Linked DNA regions of Arabidopsis thaliana. The protein of the gene in region 1 interacts with the protein of each later gene in a biochemical or structural test. Each region holds a gene or a part of one and is shown on either strand. Other genes may lie near its edges.

Region 1 (4,196 bases):
AACAACTACTGCTCCTAGGCCTGAAGATCTTTGCTTTCAGAGCCCTGAGATTAGCTCAGACCTTCACTTGCTAGATGTTCTATCAAACCCAAGTAAGTAACAAAGATACCTTTTTAGTTCACACGTAACTGAAAAAAACAGAGACATTGGCTTTGAAGAAATAGTCAAGTAAGTTGTGTCTGTCTCAGATAATTTCTTGTGATTTGTGTTTGTAGGGGATGAGCATCTTGTTGGAAAGATGGGACTGGCGGAAAGTTACAACCTTTATGATCATGTTGAAGATTATGGCATGTCAGGCTGATTGAATACAAGCTGAGGAAACTTCTAATTATCAGAGAGATCAATGAAATGGATTTGGTAGTCAGTCATAAGCAGTATTAGACTTTTGTTTTTCTTAAATTGTTTCTTTCAGGGCTTATTAAAGAAACAAGTAGTTTATCTTATTAATCATTTTCAGAGAAACATTTACATGGATTGTTGAATCGTCTTGTGATGCTTGCTTTGATAATTTCTGCATTCAGAACGATTTTTACATCCTTAAATGAATTATACTGTAAGAAATAAAAAAATTCCAAGAGAAAAACATTTCAATTCAAACCTCTCCAGAGTTGAAAACATGCAAGTCTAACAAAGTTTTGTAATGGCCTTTCTCTATTTCTTCCTCATTCACATTGTGTAAGACCAGAGTCTGTATAACCAAATCCTCCCAATCAATTTCAGATCCTTTCTTCCTTTTCTTCTTGCTATGTTCAAGCTCCAAAGACAACGCACCTTCACTAACATTGTCAGAAGGATGTTGTATTGCATTAATCCGCAACTTAGCTGCCTTAATCTTTTCTCTTCGTCTTTCAACTGCAACGCAACCCTTTATGTAAGAAGGAGGCAAAGCTTCAAGCCCTACATCTTTCTCCAACAAGTCTTTGAGCAAAAGCCTTTTACTCAATTCCGATTTCCCTTTCCACCAATTTTCAGTTGACACCATTCCAAAAACAGATCTCCTTTGCCACATACTCTGACTACTTCCCTGACTTCTTTTCGCAAGAGTCCCACCACAAACTCGATCCTCAAATTCATTATACTTTGTAGACAACTGATTCTCCGATATATTATCATCATAGTTACATAAACTAAGCTGACGTTCACCTTCTACATCAAAATACCGAGACATAGTATCTTGACGAGCATCATCATCATAACAATACATAGATTCTTTGCTTAGGCAGTCCATCACTAAATCCTCCACACAAAATCCATCAGTTCTAACTAATTCTTTCCCAGTCCCTTGTTTTCTCTTTTTCATGGACTTGGCTTCCATTAAAGCAAACAAAGTTCCTGAATGTTTCAAAACATTCTTCACAGTAACATCTTTCGCCCAAGGCAAACCCACCTCTTCAGCAACCTTCACAAGCTTCTCAGATAACTCTTTATACCGCGTTTTACAAGTAGTCAACGAAACACTAGCATCTTTCGCCAAATCATCAATCTTTACCTTCACACCATTCACTTGAACAACAAACGCCAAAACAGCCACAACCAAAGGCATTGGTCTCCTCCCCGTCGACAAAAACCATTTCAACGCACAATTCATCAGGAAAGTCCCTTGCTTTATTATCTTCTCCTTCTTATCCCTATCAACATCAGTCAATCTCGGTGAATTAGTAACCGTCTTGGTAAACAAACCCACAAGATCAAACTCTCGCAATTCCAAATCTAGATGATCCACAACACGCTTAATCATAGGCCCTAACTGATGCAAATCACATCCAACTTCATAAGCAACCTCTTCCATAGACAAAACACCTTTCCCTTCTTCTCTTACCACAGCATAACAACAAGCTCCAATCAAAATAGGGAACCACTCACCTTGTCCAAATTCCCCATCAGTAAGCTTACTAATCATACTCTTAATCACTTCAGTTTTATTACCAAGATTCAATCTTTCTGTTGTCTCCTCAATTAAATTGTTGGCTTCATAGATCTTCTTGTCTTTATAATCAAGAACAGAGCCTCTACCAATGGTGCCTACTCGTATATATGTACCTTGAGGTCCTCTTATGCCGCCAAGTTGTGCCTCATAATTATCATACTCTCGTAATGTCCCACATCCACCGCAATACGAATTCCCCGTGTCTTCGTCGCGTTCAAAGTTGCTTCCATTGCATCTCTTGCAACGCATGATTCAAACCGAAAGCTTCACACTTTAAATTACGGGTTTTTTTTTCCGACAAGCAGAAGAATGAGATTCGGATCGCCGGCGAATCGAGAAGTACTGGAGAGAGAAATCAAAACTAATTAAGATTTGACCTTTCCTTAAAAATAAGCTAGGTTTTTATATTGTCGAGATGAAAACGGCATGATGTTAATATGAATAAAACAAAAACGCCAGGGTGTTTTATTTAGGACGCCACACAGTTTGTATTATTTTCTCTCTTTTGGCTTTTTGTTGTCTCCTCCACCATAGTGCCGTCTTTTATCTCTTTACCGGTAAGAGAAGCCGGTTTCAGATTTGATCAATTCGAAGAATTGTGGCTTTCGTTCGTTGGGTGAATCCTTGCTTCGTCCTTTTTGATAGATTGCTACTGTGTTTTCGAGGAAGTTGTGTGGAGATAGTTAGAGAGATTTATGAGATTTCAAGAGGGGTTATTATAACGCACGCATGGTGTTCGACGGAAAGCCGCAGAGAAGTTTTGTTGCTATCCGATTTGACTGAGACTCAAAGTTTGAAAATTGTTACTTGGGTATTGAGAAAGCTAACCTTGGGCAGGTTCGTATATGAGTTGGGAGTAAAACGACGGTGATACATTTGACTGTTTTTCAACTAAACTAGCTTTGAAATGGTGAGCTTGTCTGTTTCGAATAAGAGATACACTTACATACACGAAAGTGGAAGTAAGTCAACTAGAGAAGCCATTGATATTCACCATGTGATTATCAACGGAAGCAGCGGAACTGGTTATGCCCGTCGTTGGGGGCTTGGTTTCTTCCTTGTGTTTCTGGCGAGTTCTATGTACTTTTTGCTTGGAAAGGTAATTATGCTCTTAGAGAAAATTTGGTTGTTGCCGTTTGTTATTTTGATGTGAATCTGCTTGACATTTGAGTGATTCTGATGCATTGCTTAGAACAAGTGTTGCTAGTACATATCATGAGAAAGGCATACCATTTTGTTTCTTAGGATTGGTGATGGAGTATAGTTTGATATTTTCATTCTGTTGTGAGCATTATGTTAATACATGACAAGGTTTGTATAAAAGCACTTTTCTTTTTTTGTGTTACTTTACAAGCTTGTTTTGTTGTTGTTCCATTTGTTTCTTCTTCACTTAAGTTGAAAGGGATAATTCACATGAAACAGGACAATCCAGCTAGAACTCTTTCTTGGGGCTGCCTTTTAAGTGGTTTCTTGGTTATGCTACATAGTCGCAAGTTCGTCAAGAAAGGTGAGATCCTGGTTCATCCTGATACACGCTTTACAGGCTTACCAAATGATATCAGCTTCACGTTTTAACTAATTCTAGCTTTTCTTTGATTTCTTCAGAATCTGTGATAATCTTGCCAACCTTCGGGATCCAACTTGAAACTCAATATTTAAGGTATGCTTTATCCATTTAGTTAGTATTCTGTTGTCTGCACTCCATGATGGCTTAATGCTTTGAACTACTCCGTATTAGTGGTCTCTAAGATAGGTGGTAATGGTTGAATTTGTTGTAATTATCATGAACCATTATGATCTATGCTTTTAAGTTTTACCAATCATACAAGTACCTACTTTTTTGTGCATGCTTCTGCTTTGCAGTGGAAAAACTGTCTCCAGGTTTATCCCTATTGACAAGATTTTGAAGCCTGTGTTGGTCGAATGTGTCACTCCCATTACGTGTTACTGGAGTCTCTCTTTATTTCTTCGTGGTGAAGAACAACTTACATTGGTGTTTAAGGTAATGGCACCAGTTTGTTTCATTACATTGTGAGAGAAAAACTTCTGCTGACAACTTTGAGAAACAATCTAGAGTTACCAATTATTCAATTCGGGAATATTACTTATAGCAATTGATTTTGAGTTCAATTTCCTCTTTGGACAGGAACTGCGTCCTCCATTGAAGATGTTGGTTCCCATTTGGAAAGCATTGTGTGCTGCTATCGGTACAGACCACCAAAGTGAAACGATAGCTGAAGAAGAACATGATGTATCTAGTTAACTGCAG
Region 2 (5,066 bases), on another chromosome or scaffold:
ACTGATAGATCTCAAGACACTGCTTCCTTGGGACAAAGAAACCGTTGAGGCTTCAGTTAAAAAGACTGGCAGACTTCTTGTAAGATTTAAGCAATCTTGATTGACAACTTCGGATTTTGATTTGTCTGGTCGATCTTATAGATTGCTTTTGCTTGTGCTTGGGGTTGCAGATAAGCCATGAAGCTCCTGTAACAGGAGGTTTTGGAGCAGAGATCTCTGCAACAATTCTGGAACGTTGCTTTTTGAAGGTTAGTAAAAAGAAAGCTCAAATCATCACCGTTACAAGTGACTACTCTTTATTGGTTCTCCGTTTCTTAACTGTCATTTAAAATGCAGTTAGAAGCTCCAGTAAGCAGAGTTTGTGGTCTGGATACTCCATTTCCTCTTGTGTTTGAACCATTCTACATGCCCACCAAGAACAAGGCAAGTTCCTCTTCTCTTATCATTCCTCTATTCCGACCCAAAACGCAGTTTCTAACATATCATGTGTTCTTGCTTGATGCAGATATTGGATGCAATCAAATCGACTGTGAATTACTAGCCGTACTATCTGTAGTTTACTGTTTACACTAGGACTAATGTAATCGCATGTCTTTGTTATCAATTCGTCTAATGTAACACTACCGATTAACTTTAATGAATTTCAAGATAACGAAAACATGTTATAATAGGACTATCTCACTTAATGTGTACGAAGATTATTATCTACTGAAAGATGAAAGCTTATGATCCAAACATTTGACAAACCAGAGCGGCAAATTGCTTGAAAGAGTATATTAAAGGGCAAACAGACTTGGTGTCTTATTACAGAACAGTTAGCAAAGAACTAAGTAACTCTTTAATGATTGGGTATTGTTCACTGAAACAAACAGAACATGAAACAAGATTACTTGGAAGACATTTTTAGAACAAAAAGAAAAGAGATTTATTGGCATCTCCATTCTCTATTTACAATTTCTGGTTTTGAATCTGAATCATTTCAAGTTCTTGTCCAAGGAATATAACCCCACCAAGCGCCTGCCAACACCCGAGATCTCTAGTTCATGGCAATCCAAACGTGAACATGGTTTTTGCCTTCAATATGGTAGGCTCTGCTTTCGAATCGAAATAGTCATAATCAAACTGTTGATTGATTAAGGGGTATAAAATGTAAATGGAGATAAAGAAAGTTGAACTTACATACTATTATTGCTGGACCTTCCTGAATTCTCTAAGAACTGGGTAGATATTCTCAAATGCGGTATAAGTCTCTTCTCTCATCTGATTCGGGATTTCATAAGATGACAGAAGCATTTTCATGGAAACAATTTTAATCATTTGAGAGAAGTTCAATTATTACCTTGGCTCCAGTTATAACAATCTTTCCTGACACAAAAATAAGCAGTACAATCTTTGGAAGTTTCATCCTATATATCAATCCTGGAAATAGCTCAGGCTCGTACTGGCATCAATGATGAGAGAGGTATGAATCATCAGACCGATTAACACCCATGTTACAAGTATATATGATCACAATGCTTGAGATCACTTACACTTGAGAAAGCACTATGAGAGTATGCAAGACCTTCAAGCCTAATGGGGAATTTGACATCACATGAGCCTACAATGTTCTGTATCTTAAAATCCTGCAAAATGTAATCAGCAATTTTATTACTAGACTTTATACGTAATTTTTCCTTCCGATAAAAATACACACGAATTGTTGATTGAGATAAAAATGAATAACACAGTGTGTGCTGGATCAGGACCAGAGAGAGACATATGAGTACCTTGAACTTTGCAGGAAAGCCAAGCTTTTGAACAATCCGAGCATACTGAACAACAAAAAGGAATTCTTTAATATAACAGAGAACAAATACCTACTAGAGCTGTAACAAGTTTCTAACTACAGTGATGCTAGAAGAAGAACATCAGACAGTATTGAGATGAGCTAGTTTACCTTTCTTGCAGCAAGCTTTGAAAGATGTTCACTTTTAGCTCCGGTACACACCTAATATTGGACAGCATAGATGCCACGTCAAAACAAGGACATGGAAGATTAGGCCATAAGAGAAAAAGTGACAAAGGAAAACATACCATTTTCCCAGAAGCAAAAATTAACGCTGTGGTCTTTGGCTCTCTGATCCTCATGATTACAGCAGCGAAACGCTGGAACATAAAACACAGATTAAAACCAAATCCGAAAATACAAACCAAAGTGGTGGAGACCAAACAAAATGATCGATTACTAAAACACGAATATCACAAAGAAAGCAAAACCTTGGGGTTATATTCAGCATTCCTAGCTTGCAAAGCTATGGCTTTAAGATCAAGCTTGCAGTCTAAGTTCACTGTTGAGACAATATTTCTGAAACAAACCAAAAAAGAAAAAGGTAAGATCTTGTGATTCACAAAAGCACAAACTCAGAATCTTAAAACAGAGACACAAAAGAGAGAACTCACTGAAGAGTAGGAACAATCCCTGAAGGATGTTTAGTAAGGTCAACTGGCTGGCTCCCTTCCGTTCCTTGATCAGCCATTCTCTAACATAAGAATCAACGTAAACACACACACATCAGCTATAAATCTCGTCTTAAATAGGGCAAAACAGAAACTCATGTCGATCCAAACCAACAAGCATCCACGAAACAAAATTGTTTTCAAGCTTTACAATTTCATTGACCAAATCTGGTTATCTAAAAACCAGTTTTGATAATTGAAATCTAGAAACATTGTTTCACAATCAAACAACGAAAAGCTATGAAACACACAACTTCAGAACATGAGATCCAATTCGTAACAAGCAACTACGAAGAAACTCAATTCAGATAAAATCCGTGGAATTGAATCCATTAGGAACAAAGGGTACGAAACAAAATCAGACCTTTCGCTAGTTAGCAATCCGGAATTTCGAAATCTAGGGTTTCGTAAACCCAACAGATTGGAAGAAATTCCCCCGAAAAGGCGAAAGGAAGGTGAATGATTTGAAAAAGGAGAAGGCTTTTTATACAAAGATAAGAAATTTTTAGAGAGGGAAAGAGATTTGTAAATTGGGATTATATATAAAGGAGAGAGTTTTGATTTTCAATATCGCTCTCTGGGTTCTCTCTCTGGGGATGAGATTTGTGATCTGCGCTTTGGATCTGTGGAGCTTAAGGACACGTTATTACCTCTATATACTTTCCTAAACTACCCTTGCCTCTCTTTGTCGGATGAGGGTAATTATGGGAATTCAGCTTATTAGATTTTAATGTTACGGTCTTTACTGGAATTTTAGGGAACCGTCCACTCTTTGTCTGCCACGTGTTCTATTACAGAATGTGTTAGCATACGTTTTTTTGTTGGATCTATATGTAAGACTATAACTCAAGACACGTTCACAAATATGAATCGAGTAGAGACTATGAATCGCCACAACGACGGACTTATTACAAAGCAGTAGATTATCAATTATTGCATGAAGGTGCCAACTAAAACTTGTTAGAGATCATCACTCATCAGTGTCCGGGTCCTTTCTGACGAGTACGTGCCGATTCACTTCGTCTGACACCAGCTTTTAGATTATCAAATTGTTGTGCTCCATTTCCTTCCCCTTAATTTATAATAATAATAAAAAAAGAGATTAAGAACTGAATATGAGTTTTGTTTATGCGTGATTGTATTTGTATGATCAAAGACGGTCACTTACTCGGCAGAGTTCGGCCCATAGTCGTGTTGTACGCGGAGACCAAGAGAATAATCAAAGTGATTAGGGATAAAACCTGACGATTCATTACTTCTTCTTTTGGATTATGACTAATCTGAGAGATAATGTAATAAGTTGATACTACAATACTTATATATATACAAGGAGATTTGGTGAAACGTTAATATATTAGTATATATACTATATCAAAGTTAAGTTCGTTAATGTCAAAAGGTTCGTTAATAGCGCATAAAGTTGGTAACTTTGGTCGCATTTTACACATGTGAACTCTAGCTTTTATAAATTCTAATTAATGTTTACGCGTAAACAAAAGATTACATGGTAATGCAATCATGGATTAACACAAGGAAAAAGCATCACTTCATTAAGTTTAGTAAAAGACATCATATTTTGTTTTGGATGACGACATATTAAACGAGTCGGTCTAAGTAATTAGGCATACAATATTATACAATTCCATTTCATACAACAAAGGTGATGAATGTTAAATTACTTTTTATGTTTAAATTTATAATTTATTACCAACACAATTCGTACTACAGCCACCAATCTTGTTATTTTACCATTAAGGCATTAATTTAACAAACTAAGTTGCAAAAGTGGCTTTGGTTGACAACAAAAAACACACAAGCGACTTACAGAATCCGGCAAAAGATTTGCTCAAAAACAATTAAAAAAACACAAACTGAAAGATATTTGTTTTCCAAAGATGTAGCATTCAACCAAATCTGAGAAACTTATGTACAGACAAAAGATCAGATTTAGGTAGAACCGAGATTTCATGATCACACCAAAAAGCTTATGTTGCTCAGGGAACATGTCTTAACTAGAATCCGTTGGTGCATTGCTATCTTGCGACGAGGAGAACAAGGTGCTAAACGGCCACGGGATCGAGAATCCGCTTCCGTCATTGTTCTCGTTCTCCTCCTCCTCCTCCTCTTCTTCTTCTTCTTCTTCTTCTTGGCGCCGGTTTCCATCGCTGTTCTCAGCTCCATGGCTGGTTGTAGCAGAAGCACTACTGCTTCCATTGTTATCGCTCGTTGTTGTTACTGAATCAGTCTTGGCTTCATCTGCAGGTAACTGATATCTGCAAACCGGGCATGAACTGTGAAGCTCAAGCCATGGTAACAAGCAGTCACTATGAAACTTGTGCGTACAGGGCATCAGCTTTGCCTCAGTTCCAATCTCAAAATCATCTAAACAAACCGAACATTGCAGAGTCTCTTCGATTTTCACAGTAGCCAAAGCCTCGACAGCTTCTTTTTTAGCAGGAGGTGTTCCATATCTGTTGGGATCATTCTCAGCTAGACGTTGAAGCAACATTTCAAATCCAGGACCAATGAAATAGTCACCTAAAGAACCAGCAGGTACAGAATCCATA

The links. The genes of interacting proteins can lie anywhere in the genome.
Region 2: the proteins of AT4G35540 (region 1) and TBP2 form a complex in vitro, tested with the Arabidopsis thaliana proteins (one study listed by BioGRID).

What each region holds. Positions count from the first base shown.
Region 1 is NC_003075.7:16,871,919-16,876,114, reverse strand, and holds AT4G35540 (POLLEN-EXPRESSED TRANSCRIPTION FACTOR 2), read right to left. Parts: upstream 2,281-4,196; 5' UTR 2,177-2,280; coding exon 593-2,176; 3' UTR 517-592; downstream 1-516. Other genes in the region: WOX13 (WUSCHEL related homeobox 13), read left to right, coding at 1-92, 216-301; AT4G35530 (phosphatidylinositolglycan-like protein), read left to right, coding at 2,835-3,026, 3,350-3,434, 3,533-3,587, 3,791-3,929, 4,074-4,190. UniProt on the Arabidopsis thaliana protein: Plant-specific TFIIB-related protein that plays important roles in pollen germination and embryogenesis, possibly by regulating gene expression through interaction with TBP2 and the subunits of RNA polymerases. Binds double-stranded DNA in vitro.
Region 2 is NC_003070.9:20,724,965-20,730,030, forward strand, and holds TBP2 (TATA binding protein 2), read right to left. Parts: upstream 3,128-5,066; 5' UTR 2,864-3,127; intron 2,523-2,863; 5' UTR 2,520-2,522; coding exon 2,443-2,519; intron 2,348-2,442; coding exon 2,260-2,347; intron 2,149-2,259; coding exon 2,077-2,148; intron 1,991-2,076; coding exon 1,940-1,990; intron 1,815-1,939; coding exon 1,770-1,814; intron 1,626-1,769; coding exon 1,533-1,625; intron 1,442-1,532; coding exon 1,340-1,441; coding exon of another isoform or gene 1,310-1,339; exon of another isoform or gene 1,261-1,309; coding exon 1,186-1,260; 3' UTR 1,180-1,185; exon of another isoform or gene 1,092-1,179; 3' UTR 542-1,091; downstream 1-541. Other genes in the region: BCDH BETA1 (branched-chain alpha-keto acid decarboxylase E1 beta subunit), read left to right, coding at 1-79, 171-248, 337-423, 506-541; AT1G55530 (RING/U-box superfamily protein), read right to left, coding at 4,508-5,066. UniProt on the Arabidopsis thaliana protein: General transcription factor (GTF) that functions at the core of the DNA-binding multiprotein factor TFIID.